7 linked regions of the Sus scrofa genome follow. The main gene of each other region encodes a partner of the protein of the gene in region 5 in a complex. Links are inferred from orthologs where the notes say so. Each region holds a gene or a part of one and is shown on either strand. Other genes may lie near its edges.

Region 1 (4,166 bases), on a different chromosome or scaffold from region 5:
CAGCAGCTGCAGCTCCAATTTGACCCCTAGCCTGGGAACTTCCATATGCTGCACATGTGTCCCTAAACCAAGAAAACAAAACAAAACAAAACAAAAAAAACCCACAAAAAAATCCGACTACATCGGCTAGGGTCCTTACAGAGGTGTGAGTCTGATCTTCAGCTTGGTACAGGAGATTAAAGGATCTAGCTCAGATTGAATCCCTAGCCTGGGAACTTCCATTTGTCACAGGTGCAGCCATTTCAAAAAAAAAAAAGCACCTTTCAGACATTAAGAACGTTAAAGATCAACTTTATTGAGATGGAAGATATCCACAACATAGTGTCAGGTGAAAAAGCAAGTTTTACAATTGCACAGAGTATGACCCTGTTCTTAATTAAACAACAACAACAAAAAAGGATGAGGGGCAGGCAGAAAGGGATTTAAGTTCTGGCTTTGTCCTTTACTAGTTGTATAGACTTAACCAAGTTTCCTAACCTAGTCAAGCTTCAGTTTCCTCATGTAAAACAGCAACAACAGTATATGTCATGTAGAGGTGTTCAGAGAATTAAATGAGTTAATAAATGAGTATTCAGAGTAGTGCTTAGTCTATAGGAGAGCCTCAAATGTTAGCTTTTGTTTTCCCCTTCAGAACACATTAGGCACCTACTCTATACCAGGGCTGTGCTAGACACAGGTACACAGTGGGCGCTTAAACACATCTTGGCCCTATAGAAGACCAGCCCTAAACAGTAAATACATTTCTATGAAATCACAGTTTGAGAAGCACCCACTAGAAAGGAAAGACTCTATATGATAGAAGTGTCTATGGCCTAGAAGAACCAGGAAAGTGCAAGGATACAGCATTTAATCCACGTCCTAAAAGATGATTTGAAGTTAATGATACAAGGGGACGAGGGATGTAAAAACAGTACAGACACAAGGGACTGCACTGGTCATCTGTTTATCTTTTATACTGTCTACAACAAAAGGGCAATTATACCACATAGATGATTCTGCAACAGCTTTCCATATTAATACAACTCATTTCCATGTGGCAGCTGCCTTTAATGGAAATACCAAAATCTAACCCATTCCCTATTTTTTTTTTTTTTTGGTCTTTTTTTGCTATTTCTTTGGGCTGCTCCCGCAGCATATGGAGGTTCCCAGGCTAGGGGTCCAATTGGAGTTGTAGCCACTGGCCTACACCAGAGCCACAGCAACTCGGGATCCGAGCCACGTCTGCAACCTACACCACAGCTCACGGCAACGCCGGATCGTTAACCCACTGAGCAAGGGCAAGGACCAAACCCGCAACCTCATGGTTCTTAGTCAGATTCGTTAACCACTGCTCCACGACGGGAACTCCCCATTCCCTATTTTATTTTATTTTTTTGGCTGTGCCTGTGGCATGTGAAAAGTCCCAGGCCAGGGATGGAACCCGTGCCACAGCAATGACAACGCCACATCCTCAACCTGCTGCACCACAAGGGTACTCCATAACCCATTCCCTATTAATGGCTCCCCTCCACCAATTTTTGACTATTAAAACAAACAAACAAAAAAAAAACTACCAAAATTTTTGTACATAAATCTTTACTTCTGGAGTCAATACTTACATTTCTAGAATTTGGGTCAAAGGACCATGTGATTTCATCAGAAAAAACTTTTATTAAAAAAAAGTGATTGATGCCTCTGCCCCCTGACTTCTTTCTAGTACTTACATTTTTCTTTGGATCTTCTTCCCATAAAGATAAAACTCTGCAGCTAATCTGTCAGTTTAAGGCACAAGTCATTTCTTTCGTTTGTCTCTCTCCCATCTTGCCCAGCCCTCAAATACTTGTCAAATTAAAGAGGTTGTTCCGGAGGGCTGGGCACATCCACCCCCTACAGACTTGTCGGAACAGGTACCTACCTCAGGTCATTCTTGAGTTCCACGACCACATCCTTGCCCACAAGGGACTTGAAAAAGGAATAGAAGAGCTATTGGGCGAGAGGGGGAAAAAACATCATATGGGAAGGGACTTGGGCAGAGGCGTGTTCCCCGGCCAGTATTATGAGATACTGGTCCTGGGGATCCCCGCCGCATCTCTCTGGCAGTTCTCAAAACTTAAGAGGAAAGAATACTCGGAAAAACGGCTGGAGCCCCGGTGATTACTACCTCGAGCGCCTGACCTAAAGCCCGGGAGAGAGGCTCTGGCCCGCACGCCTCGGGCTCGGCTCTCAGTGGACCACCTCTCCCGGCGTCCTGCCCCCACTACCCAGTGAAGGGTACCAAGTGTAACACCCGCACCCTCTCGGGGCCTGGTCTGTCAGGGAAGTGCTCCTTGAGGTCTAGCTTTTCCCTCTCCTGCTGTTCCCGCCGACTCAAACAAATAAGACCCATTCGTTTTGAGGTCTCTCCCCAACGAACCTGATTTGCAGGAAGTAAGGAGGGAGAGAAAAATCCCAGGGCCCAACGTCAGCCCAAAGGAACAAAGCTCCCGGAGGGCCCCCCCGCCCCGCCGCCGCCCCGCGACCCCGTCTCCGTCCCCAACCATCCCAACGGTCGCGCTCCCCGAGGGCGCCCCCTTGTGACATCACGGTACCTACCATTGTGCTTGCACCGCGGGATGCCCGCCTGACCGGGAAGGCGAGGGCCGGGTACCGCGGTCCGGAGGCCGGGCGGGAACCGGAGCACAAGGCCGCGCGCGAGGCGGGGCGGGGTTGCGCAGGGGCGGCGGGAAGCGCCGCGGAAAGCTCAGGGTGACGGAGGAGAGCGGACCGTGCGCTCCGGCTACAAGCAGAGCGGGCGGGGTAGGACCGAGGGGACGCGAAAGCCAGGGAAGGGGCGGGGCTTCCCGCCTTCCGACTTCCTCCCCAAGCGGCCGGCTCCCACTGCGCAGGCTCGGGCTCTGACGGCTCCCCCGGCTTTCAAGTTTTCTTCCTTTTAAAAATAGTGTGGTTCCAGCATGATTTGCTCATACCCTGAAGACACTTACTATTGCAAACTGGGCGTTTGTGAAAACCCATGATGATTTGTACACTTTTCTATGTCTCTTACACTTTGATAAAAGTAAAAATGTTTGAGTTCCCAAGATCAGGAACCTGCACACAAATCCGATTTTGTCAAAGGTTCCCGATAAACTTATTTCTCCTGAGAACCCAACCTCAGTCCACATTTCTTTTACGCTTTTGCCTAGGGCTTTCCTGTAAGGGGCTGAGTAAAGCAAAACCGACTGACTCAGGGATAGAAATACCCATTCTGATATTTCACTTCCAAACATTGCCCTCTCAAACACAAAGGGACACAAATTCACAGTTACATGTATTTCTATACTCATGTCCCCAAAGCATTATCAGTATGCGATGACGCAAAAGGTGAAATTTTTTTTTCAAGGAATGAGATCCAAATAAATTCTCCATTTTCTCCTTTTTCTTTTTTGGTCTTTTTAGGGCCGCACCCACAGCATATGGAGGTTCCCCGGCTAGGGGTCCAATGGAGCTATAGCTGCCGGCCTAGGACAGAGCCACAGCAACACAGGATCCTAGCCGCGTCTACGACCTACACTACAACTCATCTCATGGCAATAATGGATTCTCAACCCACTGAGCGAGGCCAAGGATTGAACCCACAACCTTATGGTTCCTAGTCGGATTTGTTTCTGCTGTGCCACGATGGGAACTCCTAAATTCTCTGTTTCTAATCTTGCAAAAAAGCATCCATCTGGGAGTTCCCATTGTGGCACAGTGTAAATTAACCTATTATCCATGAGGATGCAGGTTCAATGCCTCACTCTGAGTCAGGGATCCGGTATTGCCATGAGCTGTGGTGTAGGATGCAGAGGGTGGCTCAGATCCCTTGTGGCTGTGGCTGTGGCCTAGGCTGGCAGCTACAGCTCTGCTTGGACCCCTAGCCTGGGAATTTTCATATGCCACAGGTGCAGCCCTAAAAAGCAAAACAAACAAACAAACAAACAAACAAAACAAAACAAAACAAAAAACCTCACTACCCATTTGTTAGGAGTTTGTTGTAGAAATATTTTCAGCATGTAAAGGATGTAATAAGGGACCCTGTGAGTGACAGACCCCACTGATAAGTAACACCAGGACATCAAGCAGAAGTTTGTACCTCTGAACCCTAAGCACCTAAATCAGTCTATCCCTGAATATAAGCAGTAACTATTGTAACTCTACTAATAACTATT
Region 2 (3,224 bases), on a different chromosome or scaffold from region 5:
GCCGCTCCCGCGGCATATGGAGGTTCCCAGGCTAGGGGTTGAATCGGAGCTGTAGCCACCGGCCTACGCCAGAGCCACAGCAACGCGGGATCTGAGCCACGTCTGCAACCTACACCACAGCTCACGGCAACGCCGGATCGTTAACCCACTGAGCAAGGGCAGGGACCGAACCCGCATCCTCATGGTTCCTAGTCGGATTCGTTAACCACTGCGCCACGACGGGAACTCCCTATACACAAATTCTTTTTGTTTTTGTTTTTAAATGTGCTTTTATGGAATAAAAAATGATTTGTCATTTTACATTTTGTTTTTTTTTCTCCCCAACCTCTTTTCCTTTTAGGTTAAAAATTTTGCAGTTATTTATCTTGTGGATATCACAGAAGTACCTGACTTCAACAAAATGTATGAATTATATGATCCGTGTACTGTCATGTTTTTCTTCAGGTATGTTCTCTTAAAGTTGTTATTTAAATTGAATAGATGGTCTGGAAGTTTAATGTAATCAAGATATCTTTAGATTCTTTTCTTTAGGAGGAGGTCAGTTATGCACTCATATCATAATATGGTTTGTGTCACCAGGCAATCAGTGTGATCTTTTAAATAATTTTCAAAGTAGCAATTACAGATTTAGCATTTACAGTAACACATTACCCTTTTGAAATAACTGCCCAGAAAACTAAATGAAGTGTAATTAAGTGGAAGATGTTCTTATTGACATTTCAGATACCTTTAAGTATAATATGTTGATGAAAAAATGTTTAAAATAACTGACTTTTTAAATATGATATCAATGACTTTATTTAGTGTCCTTTTGTGATAGCCAGAAGGAAAACCTTTACTTAATTACTTTGCTTAGAAATACAAGATTATTTTATCAGCTGAAAAATTCTGTTGCTGGAGTTCCTTTTGTGGCCCAGTAGTAATGAACCCAACTGCAAGTTCAGTCCGTGGCCCAACTCATTGGGGTAAACATCTGGCGTTGCCATGAGCTGTGGTATAGGTCACGGACGTGACTTGGATCTGGCACTGCTTGTGGCTGCGGCATAGGCCAGTAGCTGTAGCTCCAGTTCTATCCCTGACCTCACTGTAGCTCCAGTTCTGTCCCTGGCCTGGGAACTTCCATGTGCTGTGGGTGCAGCCCTAAAAACAAAACAAGACAAAAACTCTTTTGTGGACTTTAATCAGTCAGTTACTGACTCAAGGAATAGAATTTCCCTAATCGCCTTAAATTAATTTGTATCCATGATTTACAAACTTTGCATGAAAGGAGAACATAGAGTGGCTACTGGTTAGGTACATGGGTGTCCAATGCAGATGCAAATACGTTTGATTGGGGTTTATAAAGTTAAGTAGCATCACAAGTGAAAAAAAATTCTCTTGTGGACATTTAATTTGGAAAGAATCACCATTTCACAGTTTTTACTTGTCAAAATTTCTTACTGTTGGAGTACCCATTGTGGCTTAGCAGAAATGAATCTGACTAGTTTACATGAGGATGCGGGTTCAATCCCTGGCCTCACTCAGTGGGTCAGGGATCTGGCATTGCCGTGAGCTGTAGTGTAGGTCACAGATGCAGCTGGAATCCTGCGTTGCTATGGCTATGGTGGTGTACGCCAGCAACTGTAGCTCCAATTCGATCCCTAGCCTGGGAACTTCCATATGTCTAGGGGGTGGCCCTAAAAAGAAAAAAAATTCTTAGTTTATTGTTACTACAAAAGTTAGTAAATAGCAACATAAACATTAGGCCATACTCCAGAGGTAGAGCTTCACAATTAGAGAAGTTCTGGGTAGAGTATATAGGGTGTAGATTAGCTTTCTGTTCTGTTTGACAGTGTGCCCAAACTTGGTGGCTGAAAACAACACCATTTATGAGCCCAAGGTCTGTAGGTCACAGTCCAGGCAGGCTCACTGGGTTCTGTCTTGGGGTCTCAAGGCCATAGTCACAGGCTGGGCTTTTAGCCAGGCAGTCAGTCAGGGGGGAATCTACTTGGCTCTTGGGGACTATTGGCTGAATCCAGTTTCCAGTTCTGGGTGGACATGGGAATGAGGTGTCTTTCCACCTGGGCCCCTCTGTGCTCCTAGAGGCCCCTCCAGCTTTGAAGCCCTCAACCAAGAGTTGAGTCATTTTTACACAGTTGCTCTAACTTCCTGTTCTGCTTTCAGAGGGCACACTTGATGGATTAGACTGTATAATTCTGGGGCATCTCCTTATTTTAAAGTCAACTGGTGGGTACTTGTAGGGATACCTGCAGAATTCCCTTTGAAGTGCAGTGTAACTGATCGGAGGCATGATGTCATCTCATAGTCCTGAGGATTAGAGCAGGAAATAGCAGAGGTTATTTTAGGATTCTGCCTACTGCAGTCTGCCCTTTGGCTCACAAAGATTCAGATCCCTCTCGTATGCAAAACTGAGTGTGGATGAGGCTTCTCTGGGTGACCCATTAAGCCCAGCTCCTGGACACTCTTTCTCTGTGGCCCCTCCCCAGGATACAGTGTGGGACAGGCATAGGGAACAGTCTGGGTTCACCAGGAGCAGGGCTTTGATGCAGGGCTAGGATCATCCTCTTGGTCCAATGCCTGCCCTCGGGAGGGTTCTCCCCAGCCTTTTCTGCCTTTTTCATGAATGGCATTTCAGCTGGCTTATTTTTCAGCCTGCTTCCTGCCAGCAGCATGAAGTTGTAGTGCTTCCCCTCGGCCTGAGCAGGTAGAGTCTGTCCTGGGTGCCAGAGCTTGCTGGTTGCTTCCTGGGAGAAGATCCTGTCCTTTGAACATTCTGACCTTTAGGTCTTTTCCAGGTTTCAGTAGGTTATGTGGCTTCTGTGTCAAGAGTTCAGCACCCATTTCTGGATTTCAGCATCTTTTGCTATTTGGAGAGGCTGAGAATTTGTTGTTGTTGTTGTTGACAGTTTTTACAACCAGTTTCTCTCTTCTTTTACTATAAGGCCTAGGAAACCAGGCAGTGCCTTCAAGACTTTACTTCTGTGTTCTCAGCTCTTATCCACATGCATCGCTTACAAGTGTCACAGACATTCTGCCACTGTGTAGCAAAGATCCCTTTCCTCCACTCCCTGGAACATGTCCCTAACTCCTTGCAAGTCCATATTTCTACTAACAGGCTATTTAAGGCAATCCAGGCCTTTTCTGTTATGCTTCTCAAAGTTCTCCAAAAGTCCTCCAGGTGGGAATATGGGTGCCGCCTTAGATCCTGCTTCTCACTGCATGTG
Region 3 (3,500 bases), on a different chromosome or scaffold from region 5:
GTGACCACGGGCTCACTCTTCCAGAACACAGCACGGGGAGGCGGGCGGGGTGGAGCAGCAGCTGGGGCACACTTCCCACGGGAGGGCATAGGGACCACCACTCTCCCGCGTGACGTTCGATTGCCCAGCGCCTGCAGGAGGAAGGCCTGTGCCCCATGCCCGGAGCACAGGGCGTGTGCCTCGGGGTCGCACGGGGGCCTCCTGCTGCTGCCAGGCCCGTGGGCGGGTGGAGTTGCGTTCAGACTGCTGCAGCCGGCCAGGCTTGTTGGACGTTTTTTTTTTAAGGGCTTGATTTTTGTCGTCACGTGTGATATCCTAATACTTTATGACAACACAGTATCAGGCAGCGGTTTGCAACACAGGTTTTTACAAACCGTAGCGTGCTGTGCACATGTCGATGTGTCGTCACCCAGGCTAACGTGGTAAAGTTGGCGTGTCCCTGAGTGAACGCTGAGGGAAGGGACTGGCCTGGACGGCACCTCCTGCCCTCAGCTGCCTGTTGAGGGCGCTCAGTGCTGCAGGTGCTCAGCTGCCTGTCTCCCGCCAGGCGCTCTCCTCTCCTCACCTGTCCCTGTGGGGCTGCTGGGCAGGCCTGTGGCCCGGCCAGGCCGAGTGTGGCCAGCAGGTGGCTGTGTTTGCTGGAGGCTGAGGGCACCGCCCACGTGTCTGCGGGACTGGGTTGCACATGGCTGGGTCCCAACCCTGGGGGCCTCCACGCCATGCCAAAGCCCCAGGCGTCCTGGCGTCCGGCCCGCGTCCTCACACCAGGGGTGTGGGGTGGATCGCAGGCGGGTTGCAAGCGGGGGTGGGTCCTGGGGGAGATGGCCCTGCCGGCAGCCACGGAGGCTGCGTCTGTCCCCGTGGGCACGCGGCCTCGTTTGTGGGCAGGTCGGCGTTTGGGGGCCGGGCGCTGCCTGGTGGACCCTCTGGCTTGGATCAGAGGGTCCTGCTGCAGAGTGAGGCCTGGTCCGGCCCCCAGGCTGGCTGCTTTCGCTGCAGAGTCCCCCTGCTCCCTTTGCGACACTGCTGTGCTTGCCCCCAGGCCAACCCCAACAGCGAGGAGATCTGGCTGGCGGCCGTGAAGCTGGAATCCGAGAACAACGAGTATGAGCGGGCCCGCCGGCTGCTGGCCAAGGCGCGGAGCAGCGCGCCCACAGCCCGGGTGAGCAGAGCTGCCCCACCGCCCGCTTCGGGGGCGGGAGGGGGGACGGAGGCCGCAGGCACGCGAAGCTGGCTCGGCGCGCTCAGCTTTGCAGTGCAGTCGTGTGTGTGGCCCGGCCCGTTCCAAGGGGCAGGAGCCCGCTTACAGCAGCGCGTGCGTGCGGCCGGGTGGACAGCTCGCGGGGTGAGCCGTGGGCGGGCACGCCCGGGGAGGTGCTGCCTGACGCCGTCCCCCCAGGTGTTCATGAAGTCTGTGAAGCTGGAGTGGGTGCTGGGGAACCTGGCGGCCGCCCAGGAGCTGTGCGAGGAGGCGCTGAAGCACTACGAGGACTTCCCCAAGCTCTGGATGATGAAGGGGCAGATCGAGGAGCAGGAGGAGCTCATGGAGAAGGCGCGGGAAGCCTACAACCAGGGGGTGAGCCTCGGGCCGGCTGCCGACAGAGCGCCTCCCCTCGGGGGCGGGGGCGGCGGCCCTTGCGGAGCCCCAGCTGGAGGAGGGGTGGGCTCAGGCCCTGCACACGCGGCTGTGCTGCGCCAGCCGAGTGGCGGGCTGCGGCCCACGTCACGCCCAGGCTGCAGAGTCCACACCCGCGTGCGCGGGCGCCCCCCGGGGCCTGAAGTGGCTGGCTCTCTGGGCACAGGCAGCCCTGATCCCGGCCCCTTCAGACACCAGCTGAGCCCTGTCCCGCTGGTGTCTGTTGGCCGCAGTTGAAGAAATGTCCCCACTCCACACCCCTGTGGCTTTTGCTCTCCCGGCTGGAGGAGAAGATCGGGCAGCTGACCCGAGCCCGGGCCATCTTGGAGAAGTCCCGCTTGAAGAACCCGAAGAACCCCGGCCTGTGGTGAGCGTCCCGTGCCCCTCAGCAAGCTGCCCGAGGCCTCGGTGCTGCGTGTCCCGCTCAGGCCTCGCGGGGCAGTGGCGGGCGCTCGCCTGTGGAGTCCTGGCCCTGCCTCAGGCGGGCTCAGCCGGGCCCGGAGAGAGCGGACGCGGTGCAGCGTGTGCCCTGGGGCGGGGGGGCGTCGGGGGCGGATGACGCCGGGAACGGGCTCCTCGGAAGAGGCGACTCTGCCTTGAGGGAGGACAGGAGGCTGCCCGTGAGGGTGGCCCTCTGTCCCTGGGAACGTGTGCGCAGGGGCCGAGGCGGGCCTCGGTGACAGCACACCAGTGTGTCCTCCCCGCTTGTTCGTTCTTGCACCTCGGTGGGGGTGCCAGGTCCCCACCTCCAGGGCAGCTGCCACTGAGCTTGGTCGTGGGGACCCCAGCGTCTCCCTTCCCTGGTGGACGAGCCCCACTTGGCAGAGCGGGGAAGCGCAGCTGCTGTGGCTTCCCGGGAGCTTCCAGAACTGCGTCTGGGCTTGTGGTCGGGCTGCTGCTGCTTGACCCCCCCCCCCGCTGCCGCCGCCGGCTTCTCTCTCAGGCTGGAGTCCGTGAGGCTGGAGTACCGTGCGGGCCTGAAGAACATCGCCAGCACGCTGATGGCCAAGGCGCTGCAGGAGTGCCCCAGCTCCGGTGAGCTCCTGGGGTGCGGGCTGCAGGGGCCGCAGGCGGTGTCTGTGCTCTGCGTCCGTCTTTGCGTCAGAAGTTTCCGTAAACTCGGTCTTTGAGGTGATTGAACGAAAGTCTCAGTGTGGGGAGTTTGGCCTCATGTTCCACCACCGTTTCTTTGCCGTTTAGGATTTAATGTTCACTATTTTATCACAGATAGGTTAATGCACATGCAGTATATAAACTGATTTGGAGCAAAAAAGGCGACACAGAAATCACCTGTAAGCCTAGTACTCGGCGCTTCCTGCTCTTAGCTTGTTCGTGTTTTTACAAAGTCAATCATACTGTGTGTTTAGTTTTGTGCCTTTCTTTTTTTTTTTTTTTTTAATCTTTTTGATTTTTCTAGGGCCGCACCTACAGCATATGGAGGTTCCCAGACTAAGGGTCTAATCGGAGCTACAGCTGGCGGCCTGCACCACAGTCACAGCAACGCCAGATCCGAGCCGCGTCTGCAACCTACACCACAGCTCATGGCAACGCCGGATCCTTCACCCACTGAGCAAGGCCAGGGATCAAACCCACAACCTCATCGTTCCTAGTCGGATTCTTTAACCATTGCTCCACAATGGGAACTCCTAGATTTGTTCCTTTTTTTATTTTTCATTTATTTATTTATTTTTTTCATCTTTTTGCCTTTTCTTGGGCCACTCCCGTGGCATGTGGAGTTTCCCAGGCTAGGGATCGAATCAGAGCTGTAGCCACCGGCCTACGCCACAGCCACAGCAACGCCAGATCTGAGCCGCATCTGTGACCTACACCACAGCTCACGGCAACACCGGCTCCTTAACCCACT
Region 4 (4,169 bases), on a different chromosome or scaffold from region 5:
TCAAAGTACTGCCATCAGAAGGGCACCACGTCAAGAAATGGCTTCAATATTTATTAGCAAGTAAGTACAGTAATTAAGTCCTTTAATCTTATCTTTCCCATTTTATGGATGACAAAGCTATCATCAAAACCTTCTTACCTCACAGGGTAGCTGCTATAAATGCAATCAAAGAAGATACCTCCCCCAAGAAGAATGGCAAATAACTACCATATATAAGTGGAAGATTTACATATGGTATCCAAACCACATGGTATGCAAACTGCAAAGCAATGGGCAAACAAGTAGGGATGAGTTACTAGCGACCCTGAACCTAATGGTTCTACTGAACATTGTGCTACTTCTCTTAAACAGGCCCCGAGATATGGGAGAAAACGGTTTATGGGGTTGGGAAACAAAGGACAAAATTAAATATTCCAAATGGCTCTTACCTATGCCCACATCCCTGGTATCTGGAACAGTGCCTGGCATTCACTAAGCTCTCAGTAACTGCTGAATGAGAACTTCAAAAAGACCCTCAATCACCAGCTTTCTGTCCTCCAAGACACAGGCTCAAGCTCCCCCCAATAGGCTCATGTGCAAAGCAGGATACCTGGCAGTTCATGTTGTCCTCGGCTTCAATGAGCTTCCCTCGGTACACCTCTCCCGTGTTCGTCTCACAGGTCACAATGTGCCCCTCAGCCTCATGTAGGACTTTAATCGGCACACCAATAGACATCTCGGCAGGAAGAGAATTCTACAGAGAGAGAGAGAGAGAGAGAGAGATAAGAGTTCATGGTTCAGGGCCTGAGAGGCATGTGGCACAAGCCTCACTCAAGGCTGGACACTCTGTAACACTCAGCAAAAATGCCAAAGGCGTGTTTTTTTTTTTAACTTTATTTTTTTTGCTTTTTAGGGCTGCGCCCCCAGCATATGGAAGTTCCCAGGCTAGGGGTTGAATAGAGGCTACAGCTGCTGGGTTATGCCACAGCCACAGCAACACAGGATCTGAGGCACATCTGCGATTACACAGCTCACAGCAATGCCAGACCCTTAACCCACTGAGCAAGGCCAGGGGGCAAACCCACATTCTCATGGATCCTAGTCAAGTTCGTTAACCACTGAGCCAGGAAGGGAACTCCCAAAGGAACTTGAAAAAGTAGCTTAACCCCAGCTTGAAGAACATATCTAGCAAACAAGATGCAAGATTGGGTGGGGAGGAACAGGGGGGCTAGACAGAGGGAAAGCTAACAGGAATGAAAAGACTGCCTCTCATCTCCCTGCTACCACAGGTCCCTTTATCTTTATCAAATAACTATGTTGCAGCAGAGGGGGTTGGAAGGCAGGTGTACTTGTTAACCCAAAGCAGTGGGTAACATCACCTTGAGAACGTAGGACGTAGACCTGAGCTGTCCAAAACAGTAACCACTGCAAGTTCTGAAATTGAATAAAATTAAAATGAAATAAGGAGCTCCAGCTGTGGCGCAATGTGGTCTGAGGCATTTCTGGAGCCCTGGGACACTGGTTCGATCCTTGGCCCACCATAGTGGGTTGCTGCAGCTTCGAGGAAGGTGGAAACCATGGCTTGGATCTGATCCGTGGCCAGGGAACGCCATATACCTCAGGGTGGCAAAAAAAAAAAAAAAAAAAAAAGAACGAAAATTAAAATCAAGAAGAGTCCATGCATTTAATTCAACCCAGTAAGTGCTCTTTGACTCTCCATTTACTTCACCATCAAAGTTAAAGAGAAAATATCAAAGTATTCACAAAGTGATAATGTGCTACACACAGGAAATGCTTATCTTGGAGAAAAAAGGGAATCAAGGCAAGCCTGACTTGACCTTAAAAGAGGAAAGCTGTCGGTTTTTAAATTCCAAAATGGTCAGCTGAAAGGTGGAATACATCTCCTGCATAAAGAGAAAAAGGAAGAGCAGTGAAAGAGACAGGCGCCCTTCGTGAGAAGCCTCAGAAGTGTAGATTTTATGCTGAACGCAATGGGAGAACCACGGCAGGACTATAGGGAAGGAATTATCCCTGGGAAAGGCAGCAGCACTTACAAAATGGTTCGAACACAGCTTAGATGCAGGGAAACTTGAAAGAAGCTTGTGTAACGGTGTAGAAAGCATGAGGGGGCGGATGGAGGCAGGGAAGCAAAGGACTTGGGAAGGAAGCAACTAGCCAGAAACGACCTCAAGACCATTGCCTGGATGCTTCGAAAAACACTGGCCTGGGGAGGTATGGAAACTGAAGGAAAAGCTAACGACCTCACTTCCAAGCGCTAGTGAGGCGACACTGTCTGGTGGCCCGGCTTCCCGCTCCTGTCCCTCGGCGAGCCCCGCGGAGCTCCTCGGCAGCGCGTCCTTCTCCAACCCTCTACTCCTCCGAGTGCCTCGGCCTCCCCACGCCCGCCCCCAGCCTCCCCTCACCGCCTGAGGTCTCCTCCTCCTTCCCGGTGCGGCCGCGACTCTGCCGACTGCGAAGCGTGAGACAAGCGAATGGCGGGTCCCGCGCTCCCAGAATACCACGCGTTCCCAAAATGCCTCGCGCAGGGCCCGCCCTCTTCCTTTTCCCAGTGGTGAGCGCGGTCTCGTCCTCGCTTCCACCTCACCCCACCGGCTGGGAAACTCGGTCTGTGGTTCAAGAGTTCCGGCCCCGGAAGACTGATGACTGGACCCAGGTGCCGCCGGAAACACCGACCCTCGGGCCGGCAAGGGCAGAGAGGGACTCGCTTTTCCAAACACCTCACACCGGCGACGGGCTGGACGGCGAGGCGGGGATCGGGGGAGGCAGCGGTGGGGCCGAGGGCCAGGACCTCCCCTCACAATTTAACCTTCGGAACCCGGCAGTGCCAGGTAAAGGGACCCCTGAGCGGAGAGGGAGACAGGAGCAGAGCGGGTGCCGGCCCTCGGCCGTCCCTCCAAAGAGAGTCGAGGTGGGGCTGGGTCTCCCGGCCCCGAGGCTGGCGGAGGAGTAGGACCTGGCAGAGGCGGAGCTTGCCGGGGGCTCTGGGGAGCCCGCGTTCGTGGAACTCCCGGGCCTGGGCGGGGCTTCCGGGGAGCGGGGCGGGAAGGGCTGCGCGTCCGCGCCAGGCCTCGGAGGTCGGGGCGGCAACCCTGGGAGCTGACACTTTGAGCGGCCGGGACCAGCGGAGACAGGAGCCTGGGAGCCTGAGGGCTTGAGGGCCAGAGGAGGCGGGGGCGGGCCGGGGCGGGGCCCAGGGCGGACGGGGCGGGCCAAGGCCTGGAAGGGCCGGGGCGGGGCTTGGGGCGGCCCAGCTGCCGCCTCCCCTTCTCCCCACCGTGCTGGCAGTGGCGGTGGCGGCCCAGGAACCCGGGGACTAGCGGCCCCGCTCCCGCCCCAGACGAGGCCGAAGCTGCAGCCGGCGCCGGGCCGGGGCCATGGGAGCCCCGCGCCGCCCACGTCATGAGGACGGAGGGGGAGGCATCGGGGCCGCCGCTCGAGCCCGGTCAGTGCTCCCTGAGGGCTTAGCCCTCATCCAGGGGAACAGGGGGGCCCACCCTAGCAGCGGTCAGGGTCCGGCCGCGTGACCTTGGACCGACGGCCGCCATGTCCTAGGCTGTAGAGCTTTGAGTGAAGTCTGGCCAGGTGTACACCCCGCCTTGGCTCCCGCAGCGCCAACCGCGGTCTGCTGGGGTTTCCTGATACTCCCAGGGCTGGAACCCCAGGCAGCTCTGATGGCGGTCTTGGTGGGAGGGTCCTGGTTGAGAGGCTGGGGCGGCAGCTTCCCCAGAAGCGAAAAGTCCTGCTGAAGCTGCCGTGAGAGATCCTGTCCCCTCGGGGAACTGAGGCCTAGAAGGGCAGGGAACTGGCAGGGAGCATAGAGCAATGGGGGAGGCCCCCCCCCCCGGCCTCCCAGACTCAGTGTTTTGTCTTGCTAGAGTTCTTCACTCTAGTTCCTTATGTCCCAGGTGGCCTGTGTTCCCTTGCAGGCAGAAACCAAAACTCAGGTTGTGTGTGAACCTCGGTTTGCTTTGCTAAATTGGGGAGGGAGAGAGCAGTAATTCCTGCTCTGGTTAAGGCACAGGGTTGGTGAGAAAGGAAGTGCTGGTAAACTCTAAAGTGAGGTCCCAGCTCCTGGGAGAAGTCAAGAGCATGTGGGAGCCTGACCCTAAGGAATCAGCAGGATACTGACTGTGACTGCAGCAAGGAGTAGGGTCTGGAGTTACCCGGGG
Region 5 (3,500 bases):
CCTGGCCTCGCTCAGTGGGTTAAGGATCCGGTGTTGCCCTGAGCTGTGGTGTAGGTCACAGATGCAGCTCAGATCCTGCGTTGCTGTGGCTGTGGTGTTGGCAACTGTAGCTCTGACTGGACCCCTAGCCTGGCAACCTCCATATGCCATAGGTTTAGCCCTAAAAAGCAAAAAAAAAAAAAAAAAAAGGCTTTATTATGGAAAATTTCCAATACATTATTTTCATATCTATCACCTCAAATGATCCTTATGACAGACCTATGACAATGATCATTTCTACTTTATAATGAAGGTAACTGAGGCGTGGAGGGGTGGAGGGAATTGTGTAGGTCCTCGGCTTTCTCCTGAACCACAGTCTCAATTTCTGCCTAGTCAAGGAGCTCCTGTGTGTATAATATAAAAGACGTTTCCCCTCCCACAAGAAGAACTAACTAAATAACTAAATAAAACAAAACAACAAAGTTATCACTCTCTAAGAGTTTTCTGCACATGTAGTGGCAAATGGAAAACAAAATGAAGATAAAAATAATAATCCGTGTTTACTGAGTCCTTACCACCTACTAGGCACTATCACGGCAAAATGCTTTACAAACATGATCTCACCTTTACCAATAAGGAAACTGAATTACAGAGATGAAGTCACACAACTAAAAAAGAAAAGCTGTATCGAGATGGGCAGAGTAGCCAGTCTATAAGCTCACTTATATACCTGCTCCAAAATGATGCAAGTACCAAGACACGACAGACATGTCAGGGATCTCTGGGGTCCCTTGGGAACACTAAGAACTGCTAATTGAAGGCTCTGCTGTAAAATACAATGAATGAGCACTGACCTCTCGAGCGTGGTGTGGCCATGAGAAGCAGAGGCAAATGGTATAGAAATGGCTTTGTAAGACCAATGCTGATTTTTTTCCCCGAACCCCACTTAGAAAAAAAATGGCACTGTAAAATGGGACTTACCAACAAGCTGTGGCCAGCATTTTGGAATTGGGACTAAAGTGACAGTAGGAAATAGGCCGATCATCCCCAATTTGACTGCAGAAATTATTCAAAGACTTAAAAAGACAAACAAAGGATCATTATCAGGCTAATCTCAGACCTTCTTGGATTTTCCACCAGTAAAAAAAAAATCACACACATACACATACACACACCCCAACCCTCCCCATTGTGCCTCCACCCCCAACAAAAAAACCCTCCCAACACCTTTCCAATTCAAACCCACTCGTAGATTACTCCACCCTTTTTTGGTAGGAGACATTTGTATCAATGAATGAATGGAAACTCCATCCAGCTGTCTTCTACAGTCTTAGTATCACTAGCTTCTGTCAGCTAAATATAAACAGGAAAGCCGAAGTTCCCATCGTGGTACAGTGGAAACGAATCCGACCAGGAACCATGAGGTTGCAGGTTCAATCCCTGGCCTTGCTCAGTGGGTTAGGGATCCGACTTGCCATGAGCTGTGGTGCAGACTTGCAGGCTCGGCTCGAATCTGGCATTGCCGTGGCTGTGGCATAGGCCAGCAGCTGTAGCTCCAATTAGACCTCTAGCCTGGGAACCTCCATGTGCCACAGGTGCAGCCCTAAAATGACAAAAAAAAAAAAACCACCCCAAAAACCAAACCCCCCCAAAAAACAGGAAAGCCATGGCAAGATCTAAAGTACAGTCTAATGTATTAAAACGGAGAACTGAAGAGTAGAAGCACAGGACTCTGCAGAGTACAAAGGACACTAGCTTCCTGCCACCTTAACTGATAGCTTCTTGCAAACAGCAACAGTGTAAGCAGAGAAGGATAAGCATAGCTGGCTTCACTTGCTAGAGACAGGCCAAAGTAGAACATCTAATAAATATTTAAGAATCTTCAAGACATTGGACAATCGCTGAGAGCATCTCACCCGGAGAGACTTGTGCAGCTCTTGCATCTGGGAGGTTCTAGTTGTCTCAGGAATCTCTTTATGAAGACGGGCCTCTTCCAAGCGTTTCATTGCCCTGTGACAGAAGCATTATCACCCTGAGCAAAGGGGTTGGAAACAAGGGTCCACACAAGTCTCTCTACCACTCAACTTTAATGAACAACCACAGTAATTATAAAGCAGATTCTCAGTCTTTGAGAGGAAGTAAGAAAAAGTATGCTCTTTCCTCCCTCTCAAGGCTCTCCTTACCTGGGCAGTGAATAATTAGCAATCCACAGTCTAGCAACCTTCAGGCTGTTTGGTCCTTCATGGTACCAGGTTTGCTGATACTGAAAGTTAAATTAAGAGTAGAAATGTCAAGTCTCAAGCAATGCCTACCCCTTTTATTGCTGTCAATTTCCTATTATAATTGCCCAGAAAAAAGGTGAATTGGTTCAGGAATAGGACGAAATCAGGTACATGTGCCTTCTCCTGTGTTTCTTTCTATGAACTCTCATTGGATGGTTTCTGGTTCCTTATTAAAAGCGACACCAAGAATGCTATGGTTCTGTCTTGAATGGGAAACTGACTTACCTCCATTTAGACTTACACAGGAACCACAAACTACTGCCAACAACTCTTTCTGAGCAGTAGAGTCTTCGACTCCCCGTCCCCTAATCTAGCAAAGTAAACCACCGAAAGCAGAAGACGAGAGCACTACCCCCTTGTTCACTGCATGTTTATACTATGAAGTCGAAGACATATTTACCTCTTCTTTGGACTTCTTGGATTTCTCATCATCTTTTTTGGTCTTTTTTAAGGCATCAGTACCGACCACTGAGAGGATGTTTCTTAACCTGTTACCAAAAAGATCAGATTTAAATAGAGGTGAGATTGTGAAAAGTCTCTCTAAGAAGAGGACAAGTCAGCCCTACTCTCTCACCATTCAAACCCAGGCCACCTTCTTTAGGAGTCACGTGGTGATGCCTGAACTTCCTGTGTGATTTCTTCCACTCAGAGGTCTTGATTTGCAGAGTCCCTAAATTGAACTAAAAGCAATCACCCTGTTCAACTTAGTTGTCAGCCAGCCCCACCACTGCTACCACTTGGGCTGTGAATCACTCAACGCCACAATGTGCTGGATACTGACTCAGGTGCTGAGTATAAAAAATGACTGAGCGGAAGTTCCCATCATGGCTCAGCAGTAATGAATCCGACTAGTATCCATGAGAACACGGGTTTGATCCCTGGCCTTGCTCAGTGGATTAAGGATCTGGCGTTGCCGTGAGCTGTGGTGTAGGTCGCAGATGCAGCGTGGAATCTGAGTTGCTGTGGCTGTGGTGCAGGCCAGCAGCTGCAGCTCTGGTTTGACCCCTAGCCTGGGAACTTCCATATGTCGTGGGTGCAGCCCTAAAAAGCCAAGAAAAAAAAAAAAGACTAGGAAACAGTTCTTGATTTCAAGTAGCATGGCGGGGGTGGAGGTGAGGGTGGACAGGATACAGGATATACAGAAAGTACTGGGGAACCATAGTACATTACATTAAGTGTTATGATAGTGGTAAGCCCAGGCTGCTAAGGGGAATCATAGAAGGAGTAAACAGCCTAGGC
Region 6 (3,500 bases), on a different chromosome or scaffold from region 5:
CATTGTGGCGCAGTAGAAACAAATCCAACTAGGAACCATGAGGTTGCCGGTTCGATTCTCTGGCCTTGCTCAGCAGGTTAAGGATCTGGCATTGCCATGAGCTATGGTGTAGGTCTCAGATGAGGCTCGGATCTGGTGTTGCTGTGGCTGTGGAGTAGGCCGGCAGCTGTAGCTCCAATTAGACCCCTAGCCTGGGAACCTCCATATGTCGCGAGTGCGGCCCTAAAAAGACAAAAACTAAAAAAAAAAAAAAAAAAAAGGAATAGCAACACCAGGAACTATAAAACACTATAGGTACTTTCAGCAAGTACAGGCAATTAAAACCAACCAAACAACCTGTGTTGTCTGCAAATATAAACATGTTTTGTGAATAGTGTATTAGGGTACAAACACACCATATACAAAAATGTTCGTAATCCTTTAAACTTACCAGCTTCCCTCTTCTTAGATTTCACCTTCGGTTCAACATCCACAAGTAGTGTATCCAGAGGTAAACTGTCCGGCAGAATAAAATATCGAATGTTATTGCCTCGAATACTCAGTGTTTCCAGCTGTACTGGTTCTCTGTTCTTCAGGGTCATTTTCACAGCTTTAAGATGTGTATTCATGCTGACATCTACACCTAGAGAGAAAAAAGGGCAATTATTAGTATAATGAAGGCAATCACTTAATCTACCAAGCCAAAGGAATTTCCCTTGTGGTATAGCAGGTTAAGGATCCAGTGGTGCCACAGCTGCAGTGTAGGCTGCAAGTGCAGCTCAGGTTCAATCCCTGGCCCAGGAACTTCCGCATGCTGGAGCCTTGGCCAAAAAAATACACTATCAAGCTTCAATCAGTAGCCTGTTACAGAAGAGTACTGGTTCTGCTACAGCGCAAGTTTCTATGATACAATAATAGTACAATTAGTACAATTGAGTACAACTGGTAATGATGACAGTATAAATCAGAAATCTTTCCTTCACTAGATTTTCCCTAACTTGTTGTTTTGCACTTATGTGTGCTTACAGCTAGCCATGAAGAAACCCAGACCGGTACACATGCCTTATTCTGACAATCCCTATGTATCCTCCTCCCATATCAGCATAGGCAATGCTTACTGTGTGGTTCTCTGTCTCCTTAACTTCCTTACACCCCATTCCACCAAGCTGTCTTCATTTCTGTTTAAGACAGCCCTAGGGAGTTCCCGCTGTGGCTCAGCGGAAACAAACCTGACTAGTATCCGTGAGGATTTGAGTTCAATCTCTGGCCCCACTCAGTGGGTTAAGGATCTGGTGTTGTTGTGAGCTGTGCCGCAGTTCACAAATGCAACTGGGGTCTGGCATTGCTGTGGCTGTGGCTCTCAGCTGTAGCTCTGATTAGACCCCTAGCCTGGAAACTTCCATATGCCTCAGGTTTGGCCCTAAAAAGGAAAAAAAAACACCCTATTAAGTACTGTGCTATCTGTCCTTATTAGCAGGAAAGTGACATGTCTTGTGTCTTTTAAACTGTGCTTTAAAATAAAGGATTCAGAGTTCCCATTGTGGTTCAGTGGTTAACAAACACGACTAGGAACCAAGAGATTGTGGGTTTGATCCCTGGCCTCACTCAGTGGGTTAAGAATCTGGCGGTGCCGTGAGCTGTGGTGTATGTCGCAGATGTGGATCGGATCCTGAGCTGCTGTGGCTGTGGCGTAGGCTGGTGGCTACAGCTCCAATTAGACCCCTAGCCTGGGAACCTCCATATGCTGTGTGGCCCTAGAAAAGGCAAAAAAAGACAAAAAAGAAACCCCAAAAACCCACAAAGGATGCTATTGTTTTAATACTTTGATTACTAAGTAGCACACGTTTTGAGTGGTCTGCCTCAAACAGTTTTTCCCTTTAAGCCATTATTTTTAGTATGAGATTTTACAAAATGAAAGCAATTGTTTTCTAGGATGAATATATGGCATTAGAGTAGGAATACTTGATTATTGGAGCCTTTATCAGCATGTTTCAATAAATGGGATAACTAAAGATCTAATTAATTTCTGTCCCTAGAAAGGCCAGAAAATATGAACCCTCCCAACATCCACCTCAAATTTACTGAACTTACTACTACAAATCCTCTGTCCTCTTCTTTCCCAAAATGGATATACTTTTTTAAAAATGGCCACACCCTCGGAGTTCTGGTTGTGACTCAGCAGAAACGTATCTGACTAGTATTCAGGAGGACACAAGTTCAATCCCTGGCTTTGCTCAGTGGGTTAAGGATCCAGTGCTGCTGTGGCTGTGGTGTAGGCCAGTGGCTACAGCTCCGATTCAACCCCTAGCCTGGGAGCCTCCATATGCCATGGGTGAGGCACCCACAGCAACACCAGATCCCGTGCCAGGCTGAGGATCAAACCTGTGCCTCTGTAGTGACTCAAACCACTGGACCTGGGTTCTTAACCCACTGTGCCACAGTGGAGACTCCTTTAATTTTTATTCCCCTAATTAATATACCTTTTCTTTTTGGTCTTTTTAGGGCAGCACCTGTGGCATATGGAGGTTCCCAAACTAGGGGTCAAATCAGAGCTGTAGGCCAACTACAGCCACAGCCACATGGGATTAGAGCCAGATCTGCAACCTACACCACAGCAATGCCGGATCCTTAACCCACTGAGCAAGGCCAGGGACTGATCCTGCATCCTCATGGGTATCAGTCAGATTTGTTTCTGCTGAGCCACTATGGGAACTCCCAAATTAATATACTTTTGATAAAGTCCACCTCATTGGGGGTACTTGATACAATAAGGAGAGGGAAAACAATAAGATTTATGAGCCTCTTTCTGGGTTCCAGGAACTGCACACTAATGCATTTTAGTTTCATCCTCCATGTTCCTATGGTAGACAGTATGATTACCCCTATTAGGAGGACTAAAATACACATTCATATAGAATACAGAAATTTGTAACTGAAGTTGACAGTGGGGAAGGGAATTGGATTTTTACTAGGCTTTGCTCCCCAATTTAGTGAAATTTTCTTCCTGGGACATGATTTATTAAGTTTTTACCGTATGTAAGGCAAACTTTGCATTGCATTGTTTTTGTGCCTTTTCCCATCACTAGATTTTCCTAAAAAGCAGGAAGAACACTGCTTCTCTCATGCTGTATAGCAGAGAGCTCAAAAGACAGCATTATGGAATTTTAACAGGACAGAAATTACATTCCCCCAAATTTGATCAGAATGTATGAAAATCTTACACTAGACTGATTTCCTTTCATGGCACCTGGTGTTGCAAAGTTCTAGGAAACCCACACGTATCAGTTTAATACTATGTATATCTCTTCTTTACTCAGATGCTGAATCTACATGTTAAAGAATTACTTAAAGCTGTAAATGAAGATTCACAGTGGCTTTAAATAGAAAACTAGAAGTTCCCGTTATGCTGCAGAGGAAATGAATCTGACTAGGAACCATGAGGTTGCAGGTACAATCCCTAGCCTCACTCAGTGGGTTAAGGATCTGGCGTTGCCATGAGCTGTGGTGTAGGTCGAAGATGC
Region 7 (3,460 bases), on a different chromosome or scaffold from region 5:
ACCCTCACCTCCTTGGAGAAGCCCTCCCTGACATGTGGTTAGTCAGTCCAACCTCCCCAGCCTCTGCTCAGCACCACTGGACACACAGCAGATCGGCCTGCGTCTCCTTGCCCCGCCTCCAACGGGAATGGAAACGTCGCGGGGCAGGGCTTCTGTCTGCGGGTGCACTGCTGGACCCCGGCATCCAGACCGGGGGTCAGAGAGAGCGAGACCAGATCCCTCAACGCTGTGCCAGGCCGGGAGCCTGGGAGACGAAGGTGCACAAGACAGAAACACCTACCCTCGCAGAACAAGTGTGCCAAGGAGGCGAGGTTGCTGGAATGGGTACTGAAGGGTGACAGTGCTGGTGGAGGGCACGGACCCCCATGTCGTAGGCCAAGCAAGCCTCCCCCACCCCCAAAGGTGTCTGTGAGCCACTCTCTGGTCCTTATGAACCGTCACCTCGCCCGGGCCAGGGATCAAACCCCAGCCACAGCAGCCACCCCAGGATCCTTAACCCACTGCACCACAAGGGAACTCTTATTTGATTTTATGAGCGGCCATGTGATTAAGTTAAGGATCCTGAAATGGGGAGGTGCCCTAGATGGTCCGATCCTGGGGGATCCCAGGGGCCCAGTGTAATCCCTGGGACCTCAAAGGAGTCGGAGGCGTGAAGACAGATGCAGAGTCAGGCAGAGGCGGGAAGGTGCCGCACTGGCTTCGGAGAGGGAGGCAAGTGCCACGAGCCGAGGGGCGCAGGTGGCCTGTGGAAGCTGGAAAAGGCGGCGGAGCGACCCTCCGAGGACACAATTCTGCCGACACCGTGACCTCGGCCCAGTGAACCACCACGGGCTCCGGACCCAGGGAACTTTAAGTCAGTAGCCCTGCAACGCTTTAGGCCACTAGGCTGAGCAGTGACGGGAAACTGGTACAGCAGGGGCAGGGGAAGTGGACCTGGGGGTGGGGGGGCACAAACACTCCCACCTCCACCGTCAGGACAGCGCAGACGGGGTGGGGGTGGGGGTCCTCTGATCACAGCTCCCCCCACCCCCACCAGACCGCAGACATGCAGACAGATGCCGGCTGCCCCTCACCTTCCCCTCCGTACTCTCGTGGAAACTGTCCACGCGCGCTGCCAGCGTGCACTTGGCGGCCACCAGCCGGGCCGCTTTCCGCCGGAGATCCTGGAGCAACGACAGAGAGGCAGAGTCAGCGTGAAGATACAATCAGATCACAGCCGTTTCCAGAACTCCTGCCGCCATGGGCTCCGTTTCCCACACCAGCTTTTGTCTTCACTGCTGTCGTTACTGGAATAACGTGTAACAATAGCAAAATGTTGCGGTCGGTGTCTCCTCTCACCCACCTTCCCATCTCCCCAGACAACAGAGATGCATTAACACAGAGGCAAGACGATGAAATACTGAGAAAACATGTTACAATTAAAATAAATAAATGAATAAAATCAAATAAGAGTTGCCTTGTGGTGCAGTGGGTTCAGGACCCAGTGTAGCCGCTGTGGTGCAGTGGGTTAAGAATCCTGGGGCAGCTGCTGTGGCATGGGTTTGATCCCTGGCCCAGGAACTTCAGCATGCTGCAGGAGCAGCCAAAATGTATTTTAAAATATTTTTAAAAAATCCATCAGTGTACCTGAAAGGCAGGGGCTGGAGCTCTGAGAAATACCAAGATGATACATGAGCCCCCAAGTCCCAGTTAGCAACGATAGGAGAACTGAACCCAGTTAGCCAGCGCAGCGGAGAACTGAACCCTGCCCGAAGAGGCCTGGCCTTGGCCCTGGCTCCTGGGCGTCCTGGTGGGGGCCCTGGCTAAGCTAGCGTGCAGCCCTGTGTTTCAGGGTGGGGTCTCTCACCAGGCAACCCCATCTCTGCCTGAGCCAGGTAGAGACGGAGGCCTGAGGCCCCGCTGGGCGTCCTGGTGGCGACTGTGTCCTGTCTCATGTGGTGCCTGTTTGGTGCTTCCAGACCCTGCCCTCACGCTTCTCCCTGGCTGGTGTTCGTCTGGGTTCCCACGACGTGATGAACCTGGATCAGCTCGAGGTGAGCTCTGCAAGCCCTTCTGGGGGTCACTGAACCTGACCATGGCCTTGGGAACCCCGATCTCACGCTTCCATCACTTTTGATGTGTGAGGCCTGCCCTCAGAGTGTTTCTCGTATGACTGAGTCCACGTCGCGGCCCCTGAAGCAGGTTCACTCCCCCAGCTTCCAGACAGGGAGGCCAAGGCTCAGCACTCAGGCCTCTGGCCCAGCTGCGAAGTGGCGCGGCCAGCATCCCAAACTGGCGCATCAGCTGTGGCATCCTTAACCCATGTGGGGCATCCTCTAGGGTTCCATGCACCGGGGTCACAGGGGAGCCGCGGGCCCTGGGGAGCTGCCCTGTGGGGCATGGCAGGTGCGGTGGGGCTGGGGGCTCACCGGGGGCAGGGACTGCACGATGTCGCTGTGGTAGATGTAGCCGGTGTGTGGCAGCACCGAGGTGGACGAGAAGCCGGACAGCGTCTTGCGCTGGGCGCCGAGCAGCATGATGTTGCAGGCGGGCATCTTGGAGAGGTTGGTCAGGCCGCCGGCCACACCTGCGCAGGAGGGCGGGAGTCAGAAGGCAGGCGGGGGCGGGGGGGTGTGTGTGCACGTGCGGGGGTCACTGTGTTGGAGCCTAGGCGGCCCCGCCAGGGAGGGCCAGGTGTCCCACTCCAGGGGGCATTCAGAGGTGGCTTAGAGAAGTGAAGCAACTGGCCCAACAGGAACCTGACCCCAGAGCCTGCAAAGCTGCGGGGGGCCTCCCCCCCCCCGCTCTGTGCTTGAGAGCGGTTTTCACCACACCGGGAGCACGTGCCCACACGGCCCAGTGTGGCACGGCATCTAGGTCCCCTGGAGCGTCTGCAGGCGTGGGGGATGGGAAGAGGAGCGGTGGGTAACACGTTCTCCCTCTGATGGGGACCACTGTGGGCGGGGCCCTGTGCTGGGGGTTTCTGAGGATGTGGCCCACTGTCTCATCCAACACGTGAATCCTCGAAACAAGCCTCCAACGCCTGTGCGGGAGCAGAACAGCGCCCCACGGTCACTGACATCGCAAGCCCCAGAAGTTGTGCCTGAATACAGCCAAGGGGACTCGGCAGGGCCCTGAGAAGGGGAGACTGTCCTGCAGGACCTGGGCGGCTCAGTGTCACCGCAGGGTCCTCGACGGCAGGAGAGAAGGGCGGAGTCAGAAGGGATGGCCAGGATGGAGGAGCCCCCCCCCCCCCAAGGAGGGCAGGCGCCTCTGGACGCTGGAAACGGCAGGGAACGCGGCTTCCTCCCTCCCCGCCCCCCACCCCAGGACCAGCCCTCCTTCCCCACCCCTTCATTTTAGCCCGGTGAGGCCCCTGGTGGACGTGTGACCTCCACAACGGTCGGGTGGTAAACTGCACTGTTTAAGCCTCTTGGTCTGTGGTCGTCTGTTACAGCAGCAACAGGAAGCTGGCACACCC

What was found.
Region 1: PRPF4 (region 5) and LSM2 share a complex: the UniProt entries of both Homo sapiens proteins name them as parts of the precatalytic spliceosome. The link is inferred for Sus scrofa from reciprocal best matches to the Homo sapiens genes PRPF4 and LSM2.
Region 2: PRPF4 (region 5) and TXNL4A share a complex: the UniProt entries of both Homo sapiens proteins name them as parts of the precatalytic spliceosome. The link is inferred for Sus scrofa from reciprocal best matches to the Homo sapiens genes PRPF4 and TXNL4A.
Region 3: PRPF4 (region 5) and PRPF6 share a complex: the UniProt entries of both Homo sapiens proteins name them as parts of the U4/U6-U5 tri-snRNP complex. The link is inferred for Sus scrofa from reciprocal best matches to the Homo sapiens genes PRPF4 and PRPF6.
Region 4: PRPF4 (region 5) and SNRPD3 share a complex: the UniProt entries of both Homo sapiens proteins name them as parts of the U4/U6-U5 tri-snRNP complex. The link is inferred for Sus scrofa from reciprocal best matches to the Homo sapiens genes PRPF4 and SNRPD3.
Region 6: PRPF4 (region 5) and SNRPD1 share a complex: the UniProt entries of both Homo sapiens proteins name them as parts of the U4/U6-U5 tri-snRNP complex. The link is inferred for Sus scrofa from reciprocal best matches to the Homo sapiens genes PRPF4 and SNRPD1.
Region 7: PRPF4 (region 5) and PRPF31 share a complex: the UniProt entries of both Homo sapiens proteins name them as parts of the U4/U6-U5 tri-snRNP complex. The link is inferred for Sus scrofa from reciprocal best matches to the Homo sapiens genes PRPF4 and PRPF31.

The regions. Positions count from the first base shown.
Region 1 is NC_010449.5:23,905,724-23,909,889, forward strand, and holds the start of LSM2 (U6 snRNA-associated Sm-like protein LSm2), read right to left. Parts: upstream 2,801-4,166; 5' UTR 2,575-2,800; coding exon 2,572-2,574; intron 1,963-2,571; coding exon 1,895-1,962; intron 1-1,894. UniProt on the Homo sapiens protein: Plays a role in pre-mRNA splicing as component of the U4/U6-U5 tri-snRNP complex that is involved in spliceosome assembly, and as component of the precatalytic spliceosome (spliceosome B complex).
Region 2 is NC_010448.4:127,977,889-127,981,112, reverse strand, and holds part of TXNL4A (thioredoxin-like protein 4A), read left to right. Parts: intron 1-340; coding exon 341-444; intron 445-3,224. UniProt on the Homo sapiens protein: Plays a role in pre-mRNA splicing as component of the U5 snRNP and U4/U6-U5 tri-snRNP complexes that are involved in spliceosome assembly, and as component of the precatalytic spliceosome (spliceosome B complex).
Region 3 is NC_010459.5:62,850,009-62,853,508, forward strand, and holds part of PRPF6 (pre-mRNA-processing factor 6), read left to right. Parts: intron 1-1,042; coding exon 1,043-1,162; intron 1,163-1,399; coding exon 1,400-1,576; intron 1,577-1,869; coding exon 1,870-2,003; intron 2,004-2,579; coding exon 2,580-2,671; intron 2,672-3,500. UniProt on the Homo sapiens protein: Involved in pre-mRNA splicing as component of the U4/U6-U5 tri-snRNP complex, one of the building blocks of the spliceosome.
Region 4 is NC_010456.5:49,584,118-49,588,286, reverse strand, and holds the start of SNRPD3 (small nuclear ribonucleoprotein Sm D3), read right to left. Parts: upstream 2,801-4,169; 5' UTR 2,403-2,800; intron 2,370-2,402; exon of another isoform or gene 2,241-2,369; intron 1,414-2,240; exon of another isoform or gene 1,359-1,413; intron 734-1,358; 5' UTR 716-733; coding exon 590-715; intron 1-589. Other genes in the region: protein GUCD1, read left to right, coding at 3,400-3,442. UniProt on the Homo sapiens protein: Plays a role in pre-mRNA splicing as a core component of the spliceosomal U1, U2, U4 and U5 small nuclear ribonucleoproteins (snRNPs), the building blocks of the spliceosome.
Region 5 is NC_010443.5:253,912,758-253,916,257, reverse strand, and holds part of PRPF4 (U4/U6 small nuclear ribonucleoprotein Prp4), read right to left. Parts: intron 2,750-3,500; coding exon 2,662-2,749; intron 2,243-2,661; coding exon 2,163-2,242; intron 1,990-2,162; coding exon 1,896-1,989; intron 1,056-1,895; coding exon 961-1,055; intron 1-960. UniProt on the Homo sapiens protein: Plays a role in pre-mRNA splicing as component of the U4/U6-U5 tri-snRNP complex that is involved in spliceosome assembly, and as component of the precatalytic spliceosome (spliceosome B complex).
Region 6 is NC_010448.4:106,804,701-106,808,200, reverse strand, and holds part of SNRPD1 (small nuclear ribonucleoprotein Sm D1), read right to left. Parts: intron 623-3,500; coding exon 431-622; intron 1-430. UniProt on the Homo sapiens protein: Plays a role in pre-mRNA splicing as a core component of the spliceosomal U1, U2, U4 and U5 small nuclear ribonucleoproteins (snRNPs), the building blocks of the spliceosome.
Region 7 is NC_010448.4:55,998,048-56,001,507, forward strand, and holds part of PRPF31 (U4/U6 small nuclear ribonucleoprotein Prp31), read right to left. Parts: intron 2,567-3,460; coding exon 2,409-2,566; intron 1,164-2,408; coding exon 1,074-1,163; intron 1-1,073. UniProt on the Homo sapiens protein: Involved in pre-mRNA splicing as component of the spliceosome. Required for the assembly of the U4/U5/U6 tri-snRNP complex, one of the building blocks of the spliceosome.